Rattus norvegicus: one gene and its partner. The protein of the gene in region 2 interacts with the protein of the main gene of each other region in a pairwise test. Links are inferred from orthologs where the notes say so. Each region holds a gene or a part of one and is shown on either strand. Other genes may lie near its edges.

Evidence for each region.
Region 1: the proteins of Cdk1 (region 2) and Cdkn3 interact in a two-hybrid assay, tested with the Homo sapiens proteins (2 studies listed by BioGRID and IntAct). The link is inferred for Rattus norvegicus from reciprocal best matches to the Homo sapiens genes CDK1 and CDKN3.

The regions. Positions count from the first base shown.
Region 1 is NC_086033.1:22,493,752-22,510,660, reverse strand, and holds the start of Cdkn3 (cyclin-dependent kinase inhibitor 3), read right to left. Parts: upstream 8,264-16,909; 5' UTR 8,215-8,263; coding exon 8,206-8,214; intron 6,219-8,205; exon of another isoform or gene 6,205-6,218; coding exon 6,122-6,204; exon of another isoform or gene 6,120-6,121; coding exon of another isoform or gene 6,103-6,119; intron 4,282-6,102; coding exon 4,226-4,281; intron 3,805-4,225; coding exon 3,760-3,804; intron 1,312-3,759; coding exon 1,089-1,311; coding exon of another isoform or gene 1,034-1,088; exon of another isoform or gene 762-1,033; intron 1-761. UniProt on the Homo sapiens protein: May play a role in cell cycle regulation. Dual specificity CC phosphatase active toward substrates containing either phosphotyrosine or phosphoserine residues. Dephosphorylates CDK2 at 'Thr-160' in a cyclin-dependent manner.
Region 2 is NC_086038.1:19,263,945-19,268,092, reverse strand, and holds the start of Cdk1 (cyclin-dependent kinase 1), read right to left. Parts: upstream 2,801-4,148; 5' UTR 2,725-2,800; intron 1,524-2,724; exon of another isoform or gene 1,433-1,523; intron 616-1,432; exon of another isoform or gene 566-615; intron 69-565; 5' UTR 43-68; coding exon 6-42; intron 1-5. UniProt on the Homo sapiens protein: Plays a key role in the control of the eukaryotic cell cycle by modulating the centrosome cycle as well as mitotic onset; promotes G2-M transition via association with multiple interphase cyclins.

The DNA of each region.
Region 1 (16,909 bases), on a different chromosome or scaffold from region 2:
CCTGACGCTGGCCTAGGTCTTCAAGCTTGCTTTCTTACCTTTTATCTGTGAAATAGTCTTACTAATCGAACCTAATCAGAGTGAGGGTTGCACAAGGCAGTGTTTATAAAGGACTTAGAACACAGGCTGGAGGGAGAAGGAAACCTCTGAATGTTAGTGGACATGACCCAGCACTGTGAAGATGTCAACAGGTCTGCAACCTTGCAGGAAAACAACAGTCAACTCTCAGAGCTGGAAAACATTCCTTAAATCACCCTCAGAGATCCTCAAAAGTATGTTGTAAGGAAATAAGGAAACGTCCAGCCATCAGATGCCTCAAGCATTCTCCCATTGCAGGATCACCCATCCACCAGGCTTTTCTGTTTAAGCATCAGGTGGGGATTTTGGCTGCTGGGGTAGAATTTGCTGAGCCCCACTAAACTAAACTACTTTGGTATCTGCAAAGATACAGGTTGCTTTAGGATCTTTGAAAAACAAGTTTAGAGTCTGTTTGAAAAATGGGTCTAAATGTCTGTAATTTTTAGTAGCTACATCTGATGCTATTTTGCATATACTTACAAAGGAATTCTCTATAGATGTGTATTCTGAAATTTTGCCTTTGTTACCTCATGATGGGTGTGCTGTTTTCTATGGGACTCCACCATGCCAGGCTCTTTCATGGGTGCTGGGGGTCAACCTCAGGCCCTCACATTTGAGTGGCAAGTACTTTGCCAACTGATTATCTCCTCAGTCCGTAGAAGTCATATTTAAAAAGACCACTTACTGATGAGGGATTTTTTTTTTTTCTGTGAACTTTGAAAGTTCAAGTGACTTCTTTGCTACCGAAAACAACTGGCAGGCTGAGATGACAAGTTAGGAGACATGAGAGCCAGAGTAATGCCACACACTGGTGGAGACTAGAGGAAAGGAAAATGCCTGAACTCCTACTCTAAACACTGCTTGTTGCCAATGCCCTTGAGGTGTGGTAACAGGAAGTGTGTGGGTACGTTAGCTCTCTGTCCTGACAGCAGAGGGGGAGGTTAGGCTGAGCAGCTCAAGAGTCATTTTGATTGGAATGTTGCTTGTGTGGTATCCGGGGAAGAACATACTGTATCAGGGTTTTTCGGTTGTTTTTAAGGCAGGTGGCCAGCTCCTCCATGATTTCCCAGCAGCTGCCAATGTCGGGAGTCCCTCCATCTGGGATCGGATGATGATGGGTGACAATTCCATATTGTTGGTAGAGGTCCAGAAGGTTTGGGACTCTATATTTTGACAGTTCCCCTCTGGTGCAGAAAACAAATACGTCTTGGATCCCAGAGCTCTTTAGTTCCTCTGCCAAAAGACCAAGACACACACAGATGCATGTGTAAAACAGGACACGTTTAAATATGATCATGAGAGAGAATATGGAGTTACGTTCTTCAGCCAAGCTAGTAACCAGTGAAACTTTGTCAGTGTGAAATATCTAATGAAAGTACCTGAAACAAAAGCTGGTTAGAACTAAACTAAATTGATTTATGAGTAAAATGCTTTTGAATGAATTTCAGGATTGGCTGACGGTATTGATATTCTTGCATTAAAACTTGGTTCTTTTCCCTTGCAATAAATACTGCCTTTAATAATTAGGATTTAAGCTCCTCAGAAGGAATAGATAGCACTATTTTTAATCCCACCCCCACCCCCCGGATCAGCCATGTTCACACTCAGGCAAGTATCATAAATTGTCTCCAGCTGTAGCTCCCGTATGCTTCCCTTGTTCTGCACTGCACCACACCAACCTCGGTTAACTTCTACTGACCAGGTCTTGAGAAAATAAGGCATTAGCTGCACTAACTGTATATGGTTTAGCTCTTTTCATTTTAACAGTGGGAATCAAGAAATATTTCTATAGGATTTTATACTAGAACTTAAAAGAGATGATTTTCTTTTTTAACTATATAAATGTACGTCAGGATAGGGGTATATGCATGTGTGTGCAGTGCCTGTGGACTTCAGAAGAGGGCTTTGGATCTCCAGGATCTGCGGTTACAGGTATAAGCTGACCCATGTGGGCTCTGGGAACTGAATGCTGGTCATCTGCAAGAGCAGCACCCACTTTTAACCACTGAGCCCTCTCTTAGCTTCTGAACCTTCTTTATGGCACTGTTCATTCTGGATGATTATTTCAAAATAAATAATTCCCAGCCCCAACTGTGGACACTCACCTACCCAAGTACAGAGCCTTTGCAGTTAAAGTGTAAAGCATACACATTGTTTCAAAGACAAAGAAAATAAAGATCAAAATGATCTTAATATAATATCTGTGTGTGATGTACATATATATGATATTCCTATTACATGTAATATATATTATATATACATATATAATAGAGTGAACTGAGATTATGTGGGGGAAGGAAAGGGTCTAAAGAGAGAAGGAAGGAAGGCAGAAAGGAGGGGAATGTGGCCTAAACATTGTGCATTTTTACAATTGTAAAAGAACATGTGGTTACTGAAGCTTTCAGAAGAGGGAGTAATTTGTCATAATGTCTCCATTCACATTGGCTAGATTCTAATACAGTGGTTTTCAGGCTTTTCCAGAGGACACACCACAGGGACATTCTATGTCTTCCTCACCAAGTGTTTTGATCTGTTCTAAGTAATGGATTCTATGTGTGACTTCATTGTTTAAAAAAACATTAATGAAAAAACTAGAATCTTCTTTTTATAAAAGCCACTAAAATAAACAGGAAATTCCAAAATGTGTAATACTAGTTTTGAACCAATGATCTAAATAGTATTTGCTTATAGCTTAATGTCTTCCAAATGGAACATGGAAGATATCTCCTCTTGCTGTATGGATACCTAACGCAGAACATGTTTGGAAATTCCTCAAGGGTCAATTCAAGCATGAGTCTCTTTTTTGTCCTTTTTGTTGGTACAGGGTCTCATTCCGTAGCTCTGGCTAGCCTGGAGCTTGCTGTGTAGACCACATTAGCCTTAAATGCAGAGATCTGCTGCCTCTCTGCTAGGGTCAAAGGCGTGTGCTACCATGCCTGACTTTCTTCTCATCTTTTTTGATAGGTAAGAAATAAAGTATATTAATTGATATTCCAGAACAAGTAGAATAAAGTATTATGACTTTAAAAACTATTGGTCAGCATCTGTGAACAAGGAAAGCGATTCATGCTGCCTTGGCCACCCAAATGCTGGTTTCTACATCTGATTGAAGGCGGATCCCTAGGCTCCCAGCTTGGGTTTAATTTTTTTTTTTTTTTTTAAGATTTATTTATTTATTATATATGAGTACACTGTAGCTGTCTTCAGACACACCAGAAGAGGGCATCAGATCCCATTACAGATGGTTGTGAGCCACCATGTGGTTGCTGGGAATTGAACTCAGGGCCTCTGGAAGAGCAGTCGGTGCTCTTAACCACTGAGCCATCTCTCCAGCCCTTGGGTTTAATTTAAACTACCACAGTGATGTCCACAGGGAACAGTGCGTTCAACGTCACGGGCACTGCAGCGTGCAGGTTTCTTACTTGCACTCTTTTCTCCCTCAAACAGACAGAGTCTGTCATCAAAGTTTGTATGTGTAAATAGGACTACGGAAAACAAAGCTGTGTTCAGATAAATAAACGATGAGCCCTTGGGCTCATCACCAATACCTTTTCACATTCGAGAGTTCACAGTTAGAAATGCCATAAGATTTCATTTTGTATACTGAGAAGAGAATATAGTTCAACAGAGTTTCAGGCTTAAAACAAGACCAGTAGTGGGCTTTTATCAGAGTGAACCTACCTGTATCTTTTTGAATGTTTCTTCTAACATCTTTAAATTTACAACCTACAGATAAGGAAAGTAAAAACAAAACAAAACAGAACAATCAGTTTGCAGTTGTGTAAGAAAGCGTATTTAAACACACACACACACACACACACATATACACACACACACAGCTACTGTAGAAAGTCATTTCACATGGCTATTCATGTTTCGGTTCCATTTTAAATGTACATATTAATTTTGGTCAATTTCCCTGAAGGGGTCCAGGTGCGGGAGCTCCTGGCCATGGTCTCAACCTCATTTCTGCCTGGCTTTAAGTCTCACTGGATTGGGTAAGTTCAAAGTGCAGCCCTGGATGCAGAAGGTGTTCCTGAAGGCTTCTCTAAGACAAGGTCACCAGTCTGTATGCACCGAGCCACCTGTCAGCTCACCAGAATCTGCCTTCATATTAATAGGAAGCCACCGGAGTGTCCTCACCTACCTGGAAGAGCACATAAACCGAGAAACTGAGAACAATTCACTCGTGACAGAGGTAGCCTATGAAGAAAAATGTATAAAGTTTAGTTTTTAAAACTGCACAAATGGAAATTACGCCTACCTAACAAGAGTGCCTGCCACCGAGTAAGGAAGGGTGCTTTAGCATTTTACAGCAGTCACAAAACACCAGTCCATAGTTAAACGTGGGGAACAGGAAAGGCCTAGAACGAGTAAAAGTACAGAAACGGGGCCGTCCTTACTTTAATGCCAATTAAATCTTAAATGAGTGAGTTAAGCCTTTACCATGAAGGTAATGGTTCCTGGATACTCTACAGGAAGACCCAGTGACCCTGTGGTGTGACCCCAAAAGCTTAGGACCAGTGTTACTCAGTTTCGAGATGCTGGAAGGATTGCATAGACTTTTGGTAAAACTGCCTCATAGATATAATTTCATATGAAGAGAACAGGCTACCATCCTTTATTGTCAATACTTTTGATTAAAATGGAACAGGCTTCTAGAACTCAGTCTTGTTTGCAATACCCAGGGACAGAGGCTCCCCATCTGAGTGTCAGGAGATGAGCTGAGAAAAGCCATCATGGGAAAAGAGCTGGGGTGAAGAACTAGATTTAGTTTTGAGTTTAGAACAGAGCTGAGAGCTTATTTGATGACAGAATAAAAGACAATCCTCAGTCCTCACTCTTCCTGTGGAGGGGAAGGGTGTTTCCTCGAGAGATCAGAACTTGTATTTTCTGTGCTGGGGCATGAGTAGACAGGTAAGCTATTACCGGGTAAGACTGCTGGCTTTGTGGGGATGAGCGGCTTTATGGGGATTCAGTTGCTGGCTGCAGAGAAGACTTGGGAATTAATTGATGAGAAACTTTTTAACGACTGATGTTGGTCCACCTGACTGGACTAAGAACCACCTAAGGGATTGGTAAGGCGCAGGTACTGAACCTAAAGAATGGACTGCAGGAGAGTGGGGAAGAGCGCTTGGCTGACTGGAAAACATGTTGGGGCATGTCCCTCCCTGGCTACTTCATGTTACCATCCTACTCTGCTTCTTCCTGACAGTCATGGTCTGAGTTCCTGTGTCCTGACATGCACCTGTCCCCTGCTACAATGCACGGAAATCTCAAAAAGGAACCTTCCCTCCCTTAAGACATGTATGTTGGGCAGAAACAGTTATATGATATGGCTTTTATTTTACATGGTCTACTGACGGACACATCACCATGACCAATAGTTCTGTGTATTAAATAGGATTTAACCTAATGATTAATTATTAAATATCCTATCTTGGGCATTACTGTTTCAGATGCATTTTTTTTTTGTTTTTGTTTTGTTTTTTGTTGAGATAGGGTTTCTGTGTAGCCCTGGATGTCCTGGAACTCTCTCTGTAGACCAGGCTGGCCTTGAATTCAGAGCTCCGCCTGCCTCTGCCTCTCGAGTGCTGTGATTAAAGCTGTGTCACTGCCACCCAGATGGCATTACTGTTTCTCTAACTCTAAAAGAATACATAAATCTTGGTTGGAGATAATTTTAAAAAAACCTTCCTCTTGTTTACTTGCTGCTACAAAGAGTTTTATTTTCTCCATGTCTAAAGGACTAAAAGGGGGGGGGGGAGTGTAGTTTCATTTGCTATCAGATAATAAAAACAAATCATGGAGTAAGAGAGTCACTTAAAAATTAAAACTCTATAACTGGCCCAGAGAATGCTTGGTATTTTCAGTTACAAGCCTGACCTTGCCCAAATATGATGTAACATCGAATACTGTAACTCACCACTGAAGTGCTGACATACCATGAATATTGTATGAATATTGTAACTCACCACTGAAGTGCTGACATACCATGAATATTGTATGAATATTGTAACTCACCACTGAAGTGCTGACATACCATGAAATTTGAATTGGAGTCTGCTCGTCGTCAGCAGGCTCTTCGTCTGAAGAATCAAACTCGCTTGCTTGTATTGAAATGGGCTTCAAAAGAAATGCTATGTTAAATTACTAAAAGGAACATTTGCATGTAATCTTCACATAGCTGATCCATGATTAAACACCCTTTGAATCAATATTTGCAATTTTTTTAGTCATTGATCTGGGCTATCAGAGAGATCAGCAATACCAAAAATAGATTATTACTGTTGACTCTCTGATTAATCACAGCACTGGTATATTGGGTAGAATTGGAGGTCCTTGGATAATATCAGACAAGGCACCTGAGTTTATCCTGGATCGGTTTTCCTCAATTCTGAAGTATGATTTGCCCATTCCACCTCAAACATGTCTTAGACCTTCTATTTGTGTGCTCCAAAGACCTGAAGACCCTGTGGTACATTGTCTACCTTCAGCATAGCTAGAGAGACAGCGGTGTGTGCAAGATTACAGAATGGCAATCGTGTTAAACTAGCAGAAACCATGTGCTGCAGAGCAGAAGGGATGACTGACTGATCATTTAGGGAGCACTGAAGGGTTTGACAGAGACCATTGAGCTAAGCTTTGAAGAAAGTGCAGGTTTCTAGGTAGACTGGGAAGTTAAAGCAGTCAGTGTGAAAATTCAAGAGCTGAGCCAGGTACGATGGTGCAAAGTTTTGATTCAGCAGTGGGGAGACGAAGGTTCAAGTTCCAGAGCAATCGTATACATGGCCAGGTTGGCTCTACAGAAAACACAAGAGAGCATATGGGTGGAGGGGTGGAGGACTCTGTATTCATTCTAGTAGAGATGACAAGAGAGTCAGTGAGCACTGCTCACCCCGTTTCTAAGAAAAATAACCCCATACAGCCTAGCAAGTGAGTAGACATAGAGACAACCAGTCTCCCCTTATCTTTATGAATTACTGGATTACAGGAATTCTGATGGACCTTATATGCTGATCTAAGCGGGTGTAACTCAGTTCTGGATGCATTTCTATATGGAAGGAAAAAAAATATTCTTCCCCACTCCCTAGTTGGAATCATCTGAGATCAGACATTTTAACAGTAAGTGTGAAAAAACAAAAAAAACGAAACATCATTTTTAATGAATGTCAGAAAGTATGCTGTGGCCGAGTGATTCCCACGTCAATCCAGAATGGGACAGATCTACCCCTTCCCAGGCAGCGATGTACTGAGGATTCACTCCTGTGTGCTAAGGTGGAGACCAGAAAGCAGGCAGACCTCGGGAGGAGGAAATGGTGGGTTCTACTTTGTTCAATCCCTCTATACCAGAGGTCGGATATCTTCCTCTTCTGGACAGCTGACACAGTGGACACAGGGCTTGCAAGAGTAGCCACCTGACTGCTTGGCTTCAGTCTTGCTGGAGGGACAGATGATAACTGACAAGCTATAGATTGCGATTTCTTTGGATTGCTCTTTGGTATAAAACGCAACGGAACCCAAATGAAGCCTTTAAGTAGGGTACCAGCTGTGAGGTAGAAACTATAGGTCAGGAGGGGCTTCCAACTCGTGGCTAAGACCCTTTTTCTTTTCTCCTATAAACAAGAGTTTACGCTTGAGTGACCCATTCACTCCACCCCTCCCAGCTAGGTGTGGATAAATCCTAACAGGCTAGACGTCCCTGCTTTCCCAAGGCCCAGATAATCTGAGGGGAACAGGATGCGGTGCCAAGAGGTCACTGAGGGAGGGTAGCTATCGTGACCGCACCTACAAACAGGGTCCTGACAGCCTTTGCATCTGAGGCACCAAACCACCCACGAACCCGACCGTGACAGCCTCTGCATCTGAGGTATCAAGCCACCCACAAACCAGGTCGTGACAGACTTTGCATCCGAGGTGTCAAGCTGAATGGTTTGGCCCTCTCTGGCAGGGCCGTCATGAGCCCCCACAGGCGGTCAGGGAACCGCGGTGCCTCCGCTCCGCCTCCCCGACGCGCAGGGAGGTTACTAGGCGAGTCAAACCGCTGGCCGTCCAGCAACGCAGCGGAGGCCGGCCAGCGTCTGCCCCAGCGGCGAGAATCCTTCGGGTCCCGCCGGCCCCACTCACCGGCTTCATCGCGGGCCGCCACACGCAGTAACCAGTGCCGCCGCCCTCACAGCATCCACGACGCGGCCCGCGCCGAGCCCGCCACCGTCAGCTCATTGGTCCGCTCGCGTGGGAGGTGGCGCGGGGCGTTCTAGCAACCAATCATATCCTCGCTCTGTTTCTTAGTCCGTGGCCTGGCTCAGCCTTTGACTGCTCATTGGTTCGGAGGAAGTCTTTGAAAGACGCGCGGAAGGCGGGCCCGGAAGAAAATGGATTGACTGGAGGGCTCCGCCCCTCCGCCAGTTGGGGGCGTGGACGTGACAAGGGGCGGGGCGAAGGGGTTCCCCACAAGCCCAGCGCTTTGGAGACAGTTGATGGTATTTTCTGAATGATAGCAGGGTAGGGAGATTTGTCGGCTTTCTTAAGGTTTTTCTTTTAAATTATTTTAACTTTAAGGGCGTGGTGATTGGTGGCGGAGAGCCCTGCATCGGAGGCGTGCATGTGAAAACTGTCACTGAAGTCATATCTAGTTATGACTTCTACTATGGAGAATACTAAAGAAAGAACATAGGCATACTCGATGCTGAATGTTCTTTACTGTTCCAGGATGTACAAAAGTTAATGTGTAGATCAGCCTTCCTGTTCACGAGGTAGAAATGTGCTAATACTGTATGAGAAGGAGATAAAATATGGTGTGCATGTGTGTGGGGTCTCCCTTGGCAGGCTTCTACACAGTCAGTACCAATAATAAAATTGTGCTCTGAGCCTGCTATTTGGGGGCTAGGAACTGAAATCTGAGAGCAGTATATGCTCTTTACTGCTGAATCTTCTCTCTAGGTGTACCCCCCACCCCCAACCCCCCACTCCCCTGAAATTTGAGGAAAGCAGAAGTTCCTCTGTTACCCTTATGTCAAAGGCAGTGGGCACAGGGCTAGTAGGTAGGTAAAGAAGACAGCACGATTTGACCTAGAAATTGAATTAGTCATGGTCCTCCAGAGAAATAGAAGTGTGTGTGTGTGTGTGTGTGTGTGTGTGTAAAATGGTCTCCTTTGGCTTGGGGATGCTGATGAGTTCAAAATCCAGTAAGAAGTTAGTGATTGTTGACCCAGAAGATTATGGTTCAAGTTCAAAGGCAGATTGTTGTGGGACTAGAAAGAGTCTGTGTTGTAAATGAACGGTGAAAACCGTAAGTCAAAGAATCCTCCTTGTGCAAGGAAAATCTTATCCGTTGTGGTCCCCAGGCTTCCAGCTGAGTACTATGGAAGTACTTTGGGCACCTGCTTCGCCCAAAGTCTACCAACTTAAACGTAAATTACACCCCCTAATACTCATAATAGTGCTTTCCCAAATATCTGAGCACCTGGCTTCGTTAGCCAGGTCAGGACATGCCGTAGTTAGGACTTCCCTTACTGTTAGGAAATGCCATGGCCAAGAAACAAGTTGGGGAGGAACTCAGCTTACAGTTACATGTTGCTGTTCATCACCAAAGGAAGTCAGGGCTGGAACTCACACAAGGGAGGAAGCTGGAAGCAGGAGCTGATGCAGCAGTCATGGAGGGATGCTGCTTACTGGCTTTCTTCCCCTGGCTTGCTAGCCTGCTTTCTTATAGAAGGCAGGACCACCGCCCAGGGATGGCACTGCCCACTGTGGACTGGACCCTCCTCCACTGATCACTAATTGATGTCTTATAGCCAGATCTCCTGGAGACATTTCTTCAACCGAGGCTCCTTCCTCAACCTGACACATAAAACATGCTAGTGCCGTGGACAAAATGAACACGGAGTCCCACTGGGATTTTCTGTAGTCAGTGAACACTTTTAGATTCATGCTGTCCATATTGAATGCTCATATCCAAAGTTCAAAGATTAAGCTAGAACAACAAAGCAAGAAATGCTACTTTACAGATATTCTCTTTTAATGTAAGTCTGCTTCCTTAGATGATGTTGCAGTCGACATAGGGAACTAGTTACCACCCACTACAAATTCACAATGGGACATAGAACAATGCATAAGAGGAGCCTCGATCAAGATACACACGAGGTGTGATGAGAAGCAGTGCCCTGTGTGTGGAGTAAGGTGGGCAAGAGGCTCAGGGGTGGGAGCACTGGGAATGTGGGCTGAGGAGCTGACCTAGGGAAGCCGGTACCACAGCAAACCCCACAAAACCACACCCTGCATCCGGCCTCACTTGCTTACCCATAAGCATTTGCTACTGAAATATCCCTCACAGGGTCATGTCCTGGATGTCAGCCCAGCTGAGGGCACTATTTTGGGAAGTTCTAGTAATTCTGAGGAGGGCGTGTCTGGAACTGTCTCCTTTGACTCTGGAATCCTCATTTGAGAGAGTAGGCCTCTAAGGGCAGGCATTGGGGATATATGACGCCTTTCTACTACCAGTGCCCCCGCCCCCCAGCATCCTCTCCACCACTGAGTGCGTTATTCTGCTTCTCTACACCCACTCGTGTGACACAACGACATGTCTGAAACAGTGGGCCAGAAGAAAGCCTCCCTTGAGTTGCCTAGTCCAGGTTTTTTTTGCTCACTGTGAACACAAAAGTGGCTCATGCAACACGTCTGTATAGGCTTTAGGAAATGAGTCCTCCCGAGTTTCTTTCCCTTTTGAAGATTTATTTCTTCCTAATTCATGTATGTATGTATGAGTGTGCGCATGCGTGAATGTGCACTGTGTACATGCCTTGTGCCCGTGAAGGCCAGAAGTGGGCTTTGAACTCACTGGACCCACAGGCAATTGTGAGTTGTCCCCGTTGGGTGCTGGGAACTGAACACAGGTCTGTAAGGGCAGCAGGAACACAGGTCTGAGCCACCTCTCCAAAGCCATATGCTCGCTCGTTTCTATGCCGGCCACATCCTGAACTGAAGCTTTCGAATCACCTGATCTTCTTTGGCAAAGGTCAGGCGCTAGGTATTAGTTACAGATCTGCTAGAGGGCACAAGCCGGCTGAGAGAATTCTCTCCTGCTTCTCCGTTTCCTGTCCGGATAAATCAAGACCCGTCTCCTTAAGATTTTTACCATTAGGACTTCCTGTGACACAGACTGTGGCCTTTAATTGTGAACCTTTCTCCTTTAAGTGGTTCTGGTCAGGACATTCCATCATAGCAGGAGGAAAAGGAACTAGGAAAAAAAAATGCTCGTCAGCCTAGTTTCTGATAGGACTCATTCCTTGAAGCCTCATAAGCCTGGCTTACCACTTCTGCATTTTCCTTGGGATTGCAACCTACTACACTTCTGCCAGAATGACTCTCTGTAAGCTCTAGTTACAGCACTCAAGGGATTTTCTACCACAAAGCTGCAAACTTTTTCACATTGTCTTAGTTAGGGTTCCATTGCTGTGAACAAGGCAACTCATGTAAAGGACACCATTTAATTGGGACTGAAGGACCCTAGGGGCTTTCACCAGCCTTACATCTACCACCTCAGGTCAAAATTAGGCCAAGTACCAGCTTCCTGCCTTGGGTCAAGGCTAGGCCAAGTTCCATTCTTCACCCACAGTTCTCGGGAGGAGCAGGGACATTCTTGAGAAACTGCAGAATGTACTGACTGAGAGTCATCTGACCCTCTGGTCCCAGATAGAGTTCGAATGCATGTCATATGCTTGCTAGCCAGTAGATTCAAAGATCGATATACTTAGCCAATAAGTTTAAACTGTAACCTTGCCGATGCAACCTGTACCCCTAAAAGGTATAAAAACTGATTGTTATAGCCATTTGGGGTCACCTTCTAGTCACTCGCCATGAAGGGCTGATTGAGGGTCGACCCCAACAAATAAACCTCTTGTGTTTGCATTGAACTCCATTCTTGTGTCTCACTTGGGAGGGTCTCCCGGTAGTTAAGACTCACTTGGAGCCTTACAGGGCTGGCTTACAGTTTCAGAGGTTCAATTTATTATCATCATGGCAGGAAGCATGGCAGCATCCAGACAGTCATGGTGCTGGATGAACCAAGAGTTCTATATCTTTATCTGAAGGCAACCAGGAAAGACTGTCTTCCACGGCAGCCTGGATGGGGGTCTCTTCAGCATTGGGCAGAGCTTGAACATGAGGAGCCCTGAAAACCTTCATCCGACAAGGATGAACACACTTCATCCAACAAGGCCGCAGCTATTCCAGAAAGGCCACACCTCCTAATAGAATTTTCAAACCACTGCACACAGGAACCACATGACCAGGTTTATCAGAGCAAGAGCAACTTAGGTGTAGCATCTTGTGGATGTCACTTGCTTGGCGGTAACTGGTTTCTATGTCGGAAGTATAGGTGTAGACAGTGGCTCAATTTCAGATGGTTCTATCAGATAGTAAAGCCTCTTCTGTGATCATATTACCTAGTCAGTATCCACAATTATTTCATAGCTTATGTCTCTCCAGAGGGCTGTCCCCATCTGAACTGGCTCCCAAATTAGTATCTTATTCATTGGACCTAAGCTTGCTTACTCTAGAGCAGTGCTTCTCAACCTGTGGGTCGCGACCCCATGGGGGTTGAATATCAGATCCGGTGCATATCAAACATTAACATTACCTAACAGTAGCAAAATTAAGGTGCATATCAAATATTAACATTACATAATGTAGAGAGCAGCGCGGCAAAACAAAGATGGCGCCGACATCCAGCCTCGTCTGGATGTCGACAACTTACCACGCATGTGCAGGCTTGTCCCCTTGCTAGGGCGGCCATACAATAATGTGATGTAGGGCGCCCCCCAGTGGTGAACAACGGTACTGCACATGTGCGGTTTTTGCACCAGGTGTCAGTTGGCCGTTAATATGCTAATGAGGGGCGGTACCATGCTAGTGGGGTGATTCATTCTCCGCCAATCCCTGGAGGACAAGTAGTGGGGTGATAGTGGGGTGATCCGTGCCCCACCAATCCCTGAGAGTTTATTAGCATACTGTTGTGTATATAAGGCAAGCGACTTTGCCACTCGGGGTCCCTGTTCAAGAGAGCTGTACCACAGTAAAGGTTTGTTCACAGAAGAATCCTGTTGCTGTGCGTCGTTCTTGCTGGCGGGACGTTGGGCGCCCGACAAGTGGTGCCGAAACCCGAGAACCAACATCGCCGGTGCCGAGGGGACCCTTCAGTGTGCTGAAGAGGATTCAGAACTGCGAGAAGGTAAATTAAAAGGTAAGCTCTGAGAGGCATGCCCCTTTTTGGATTTAGTCTTGCCGTGGAGGGATTGTTGCTCGTTTTTATAGTGACTGTTGTCTTCTTACTAGTTGTGTTAAAATGTGAGGACATAGTCAAGGCAGGACAGAACATTCAAGAGAGCATGTCAGAAACGGAGCGGAGTGAGAAATTAGGAGCGCGCAAAAAGAAAAAGGTTACTAAAACAAAAGTGAAAGAGATACAAAAGGCGGAAGAAATGCCGCCGGAGGAAAAAATAGGTATGCCCCGGAGGACGAAGTACAAGTCATCCGGAGAGGATACTTTGTATCCATTAAAAGAATTAGAAGCCTTAGAACTGACTGGTAGTGACTCTGAGCAAGAGTTGTCAGAGTCGGAGGAGGAGGAATTAGAGGAAGAGGCAGCCAGATATGAGGAAGAAAGATATGGGCCTAGGTGGAGAGCCACTGTGAAGAAACCGAAAGTTATTAATGCCTCGGTGGCCTCTGTTCCCCCGCCTTATATAGAGGGGAAGTGTGAGTACTCTTTCTGTCCGCCTGAAACACAGCGAGCACTCGGGCAAATGTTTCTTGTGTTTGAGGACGATGGTGTTCGTTCTCATCAGCCCCTAGAACACAAGCAAATTAAGGAACTGGCAGAGTCTGTTCGTGCCTATGGGGTTACTGCTAATTTTACCATGTCACAGGTAGAAAGACTAGCAAGCATTGCCATGACTCCAGCAGACTGGCAATCTGTGACAAAGGCCTGTCTCCTTAGCATGGGACAGTATATTGAGTGGAAAGCACTGTGGCACGATGCTTGCCAAGCACAAGCACGCGCAAATGCAGCAGCAGGACAACCTGCCTGGACATTTGATATGTTAACTGGACAAGGGCAATGGGCCAATAATCAAACTGCCTTCCCCTTGGAGGTATATGGTCAGATTGCTATTAGTGCTGTCAAGGCATGGAAAGCTCTAACTAACAGAGGAGAGGTGTCTGGGAACCCGACCAAGGTCATCCAAGGACCAAGTGAGCCTTTCTCAGATTTTGTGGCCTGCATGATGGAGGCTGCTGGTAGGATTTTTGGAGACCAAGACCAGGCCATGCCCTTAATAGAACAGTTAGTTTTTGAACAATGTACCAAAGAATGCCGCAATGCAATCCTCCCCTGGAAATCTAAGGGGCTGCAGGCTTGGCTGAAAGCCTGTAGGAAAATAGAAGGACCACTTACCAATACCGGTCTAGCCACGGCTATATTACAAGGACAAAGGCGGCCTGGCCTCTCTAGTAGAGGCATCACGTGTTTCCAATGTGGAAAGCCTGGTCATATGAAAAGGGAGTGCAGGAATCAGAATCCTGGCTTTAATCCAAAGAAAGTCCCAGGACTGTGTCCAAAGTGTAAGAAAGGGAAGCATTGGGCCAGTGAGTGCAGGTCAGTAAAGGACATAATGGGGAAACCCTTGGATGTGTCAAAAAATGTCCAACAGGGCCCCCGTCCTCAGGGCCCTCAAATATATGGGGCAACCAGCTCCCCAGTAACCTGGGCTCGTCAAACTTCCCCAGGAGAGCCACTCTGGGTTCCACAGGATTGGACCTCCGTGCCACCTCCAGAATCGTCCTAACCCCTCCAATGGGGGTGCAGCCTATCCCCTCTGACTTTCATGGCCCTTTACCACCCAATACAGTTGGGCTGCTTTTAGGACGCTCCTCTACTACTCTTAAGGGATTGGTGGTACATCCTGGGGTTATTGATCAAGATTACGAGGGCCAGTTGAAGATCATGTGCTCCTCCCCACGAGGTCTCTTCTCCATTTCCCCAGGTGACCGGATTGCACAATTGCTTGTTTTACCCAGTTGTCACGCCCAGTTTAAATCAGGAAGTACAAAAAGAGGAAAGAAGGGTTTTGGCTCTACGGGCACTGATTCAGCATATCTTATGGTCAATTTACACGCTCGACCTACTCTGATCCTAACCATTGAAGGAAAGACATTTGACGGAATTCTAGATACAGGAGCAGACAAAATCATTATCTCCACTAAATGGTGGCCTACAAAATGGCCCATTACTCAATCTTCCCATTCATTACAAGGTTTGGGTTATGAAGCTAGTCCAACTGTTAGCTCTAGGCCCTTAAAGTGGAAAGCCCCAGAAGGACAGGAGGGTAGTTTCGTCCCATATGTTCTTCCTTTACCTGTCAATTTATGGGGAAGAGATATTTTGGCTGAGTTAGGGCTTAAACTTATGAATGAGTATTCCCTACCAGCACAGAGAATGGTGAGGGACATGGGGTATGTCCCAGGAAAAGACATTGGTAAGCATCACCAAGGAACTACAGAGCCAATTCAACCCACTGCAAAACTCGATCGTCACGGTCTGGGTTTTTCTTAGAGGCCATTGAGGGGGCTATGCCCATACCGTGGATAACAGATGAGGCTGTATGGGTTCCTCAATGGCCTCTCTCCTCTGAAAAGCTAGAGGCCGCTCACCAATTAGTAAAGGAACAGTTGCAATTAGGACATTTGGAACCTTCAAGCTCACCCTGGAATACTCCAATATTTGTTATAAAAAAGAAGTCAGGAAAATGGAGACTATTGCATGATCTTAGAGCAATTAATACACAAATGAAATTGTATGGATCAGTCCAACGTGGTCTCCCGCTTCTTTCTGCTTTGCCAAAGCAATGGGAGGTTATTATAATAGATATTAAGGATTGCTTTTTCTCTATTCCTTTACATCCTAAGGATAAAGAGAGGTTTGCCTTTACTCTACCTGCAATAAATCATGTGGAGCCTGATGAGTGCTATCAATGGAAAGTCTTGCCTCAGGGGATGGCAAACAGCCCCACTATGTGTCAGTTATATGTACAACAGGCCCTGACTCCTGTCAGAGGGCGATATCCATCACTAACGATTCTTCATTACATGGATGATATACTCCTCTGTGGATCCAAACCTCAAGAGCTTGAGATAGCATATGCTGACTTAATTAAGCATTTGCAACAGTTCGGGCTAACTATAGCTACTGAAAAGGTTCAGAGATCGCTGATGGGCAAGTTTTTAGGAGCCGTTGTACATCCAGAAGTTATTACTCCACAAAAAATTGAAATCAGGCGAGATCACCTACAAACCTTAAATGATTTTCAAAAACTTTTGGGAGATATTAATTAATGGCTACAGCCATTCCTGAAAATATCTACTGCTGAGTTAAAACCTTTGTTTGATATATTGGAAGGGGATCCGCAATTAACATCCCCGCAATCCCTGTCTATGGAAGCTGTAGAGGCCCTCCGAAAGGTGGAGAAGACTCTTTCTGAGGCTCAATTAGTAAGGATACAACCTGATAAACCTTTTGAGCTATGTGTTTTGCAAACTGCTAAATTATCCACTGCGGTGTTATGGCAGAATGGCCCCTTACTTTGGATTCACCCACAAGCCTCTCTGGCTAAAACCATAGAGTGGTACCCCTCAGCGGTGGCAAGATTGGCTACGAGAGGACTAAAAGTAGCTGTAACTCATTTTGGTAAACATCCAATAAAAATTGTTATCCCCTATACTGCAGAACAGCTCCAAGTGCTGGCCGCTACAAATGATGACTGGGCAATACTTG
Region 2 (4,148 bases):
CTCACCTTCTCCGATTTTCTCTATTTTGATATAGTCCTCCATAGTTACTCAACAGGTTACAACGGACCCTAAAAGGACGAGAAACATGGCTGTGGTCATGTGGTCATAATTCAAACAGTCGGAAGTATCCGGAAGACAGACGTCCCGGAGGAGTGCTTTCCATCACCTCCAGCATAGCCTGCCACTATCCGCCATTCCTTCAGGCAGTATTGTTGGGCTTTACCTGCTCCTGCAGTGAAGCGTTCCGAGCCTTCTCAGACACTGCCTTTGTATATTCTATACAGTGTTGTACATGGCCCCTTCACATTCACAAACCAAGCAGGCCTGTCGACCCAGCTACTAAGGAGACTGTCACACAGCCAGCTAAACGACTTAGTGATACTATGTCTCAAAAGAAATAAGCAGTAGTCCCTGACCCTCGGGACTTAAAGTTTCAAAACGGAAGTATAATGATTTTAATGCCAGTATTTCAACACGTTGCTACTGTACTAAAATTGCTTTATTTTTTTTTCCTTTAAAACAATGAGAATCTGTGAGAAGGAAGCTGTGCATGATGTAATCCTACCGTAAGGAAGAGCAAGTTCGAGGCCAACCTGTGGCCTAGTTTGCTGCAGCCCTGTCTGAGAAGGAAACAAAGTACAACTGTAAAGTCCAACCCCTAGAAAGGAAGGACAGTCATTTTTTAATAAAAGCTTCTGTTTACCTTAAAAGCATTCAATTCACTTGAAACAGCATGAACTCCTAGCTGCACAAGTGAAGTAAATCTTTTCGGAAACCAGCCACAGACAATCCCACTCAAGACTCAAGACTTGGAGGGAATGCCAATAAGCCCCTTAGAAGGAAGTATGTGAGGTGAGGAGCTGGCCAGTTTAGGTCACATTGTCACAAGCTGAAGTCACCAGAGAGGGAACCTCAGTTAAGAAAATGCTTCTGATAGGGCTGTAGGCAAGCCCTTAGGGTATTCTCTTAATTAGTGATGATGGGAGAGGGCTCAGCCCATTGTGGGAGGGGCCATCCCTGGGCAGAGGGGCCTTCCTTCTAGAAGAAAGCAGGCTGTGCAAGCAATGTCAAGGAAGCCAGGAAGCAACACCCCTCCATTGCCTCTGCATCTGCTCCTGCCTCCAGGGTCCCGTTCAGACTTCCTCTGTTATGGAATTGTGACGAGGAAGTACAAGACAACTAAACCCTTTCCTTCCCAAGTTGCTTTGCTTTGGGCATGGCTTTTCACCATAACAATAATAACCCTGACTAAGACAGTTTGAACAAAACCCTAATCACACCGGCAAAAATATCATGAGCAAGGAAGGAAAAAAAAAAACCTTGGCTCACAAAGAATGGCAGAAAGAAAAAAAAAAGAAAAGAAAAAACTAAGCGCCTTTTCCTTGAAAGCCCTGGGCAGATCCTTACCAATGAACATCAAGGAATAGCTGACCTTTTGTGAGCTGGTCCTTACAGATCCCTTTGCACTGTAAAATCAGCTCTGTGGGGTGTGGTGGCACAGCCTGGAATCCCAGCTCTTGAGACTGCACAAGGAGACAGGGGCTCAACAAATTAAAAAAAAAAAAATCAAAAAGAAAATGTAAACCTGTCCAAGAGCCTTGCCAGGCATCCCACTAGACCCTGGGGATTCTCATACGCCTAAGTTTGACTCTCAACTATGTATATGTTTAAGAAATTACTCCCCCCCCCCCAAATCCCCTTTCTTCAACACAGAGACGTAACAGAACTATAGTACATTAAACTGTGCCGCCACCTCTGCACAGACAGCAAAGAGTTAAAGTGTCTTCAAAACTGGGCTCATCCCTTCCAACCTTTTCCAGCCTCCTGGGGCTGGTGTTAAAAGCTGCCCAGGGTATCCAAGTTTGGGGGGTTGGGATAGGGGTATGGTGGTCCACGCACCAAGACCTTCATCATTACTTATGTTTTAAGACGATGAAGGATGCGATGGTATCCGCGGTTCTCCCTCTCTCTGTTTCTTAGCCTGGGTAGCGTCTGTGGCCGTCTATAAGCACCCGCAACTAAAAATAAACGATCCTACACTCTCTTGGCTCTGCACCTTGGTGGGATTGCTTTTTGAACGACCACGGGTCTGTTTCTCCGGCAGTACCGACTTGAAGGCCTCCGAAAGCAGCTGGTCTGGTGCAGCCCAGCTCCGCACAGGCAGCCAGCAGGGCCTGGGACCCAACTTGGCACCCCGCCCACACCCGGGGCTCCAGCGAGGCCTGCTCGTCTGCAGGACCCCGGGCTTGGGTGAGTCCTGTTCCTCCATAGAGGATCCCAGCCCCGGGTGATCCCTGCCCCTCCATAGGGGACCTGGGGCTCAGAGGAACCATGCTCCTCCAAAGGGGACCCCGGACTTAGGTGAGGTCATGCCCATCCATAGGGGACCCCAGGCTCAGGTGAGCCCTACAACTCCATAGGGGACCCCGGGCTAAGGTAGACCATGCTCATCCATAGGAGATCGATCCCAGGCTCAGCTGAGTCCTGCACCTCCATAGGGGACCCCAGGCTCAGGGAGGCCATGACGGTCCATAGGGGACCCTGGACTCAGGTGAGGCCCTACCCGTCCACAGGAGACCATGATCTCACGTGGAGGCTCTACCCGTCCACAAGGGGGTCCCCCGGACTCACAGGATGTCCTGCCTGTCCCCCCCCGGGGGGACACCCCGGCTCCCGTGGAGCCCCCGCAGGCCCTGCCGGCACCCTGCCGGACTCACGCCATACCTCTCTGTTCCCGCGGTGGCCACACCGCAGTTCCGGACTGCGCGGACGCAGCGACTCCGGGAGCTTAGAGGCCGAGTGCCAGCAGTTTCAAACTCACCGCGGTAAAGCTCCCCGGGTCCGCCAATCCGATTGCACGTAGACGTTCAAAGGAGCCAATCAGAGCCGAGCTAAGCTACGGCCCGGGCTGCCTGGGAGTGCAGAGCGCGAAAGGGAGCGGAAACCGCGGCCGGAGGAATTACAGGAGGGCGGGCGCCAACTGACTCTTGAGCTCAGCTTTCCTTCCAATGTCGTCTTGTTGTTTCTGGACAGTCTAATCTGTTTTTCCCCCCTCCCTCTACATTTCTATTTGTAACTTTCTTTCAGGATTAACACAATTAAAATGTATTGCATTTAGATAGCTAGCCACAAAAGTGATAATGCCACTACATCAAGAGTTTCTTATTTTTACTACTTTTATTTTGTTTGGTTTTGCTTTTTTTGAGACAAGTTTTCTCTGTGTAGTCTTGACTGTCCTGGAACTGGCTCTGTAAACAAGGCTGGGCTTGAACTCACAGATATCATCATGCTTCTGCCTCCTGAGTGCCCAGGTTAAAGGTGCGTGCTGCTGCCACCACCACCTGGCTACTGCTAACATTTAAAATTACTTTCTGGAATTGGAGATTTAGCCCAGTGATAGAACACTTGGTCCTCAGCTCCAAAGGGGGAAAAATTACTTTATGATTATGCCTTTCAAAAATATATATTAAGCTGAGGATTGTGGCACATGCCTTTAATCCTAGCACACACAGCAGCAGGCATGTGTGTGTGTGTGCATATGTTGTGTGTATGTGCACTGGCATATGTATGTGCACATGTGTGTATGTTTGTGTATATAAACATCTGTTTTTATATATAGCTATAATATATACATACATAATATTAAGTTTCACTATGGAATTGTGAAATGTTATTGGTCTGTGTTAATTCTTCTCATCCTTCTCCAGTAACCCTAATACCCCCATCTTTTTTTTTTTTGGTTCTTTTTTTTTTCGGAGCTGGGGACCGAACCCAGGGCCTTGCGCTTCCTAGGTAAGCGCTCTACCACTGAGCTAAATCCCCAGCCCCCTAATACCCCCATCTTGTAACTGCCCACCCCCACCCCCATAGCCTCCCATGTCCTGGCACCATGTCCATGACTCTCATTTTTCCCTTCTGGTGACCCTTCCTTTGTAGTTCAAAGCTTATATACACACTAACATATGACCACTACATGCTAGGATCCGCATATTTAAAGGAACATGAAGTCGCTGTCTCAGTATGTCTCTGTTAGCTCCCTTGATGTATTTCCCAGATGGCCCCATGTTCCATGATTACAGTTTTGCTAATGAGTGATTAGTGGCCAGCAGAAGGATCACATTTAAAGTGTCTGGAGAAGACAAGGGCAA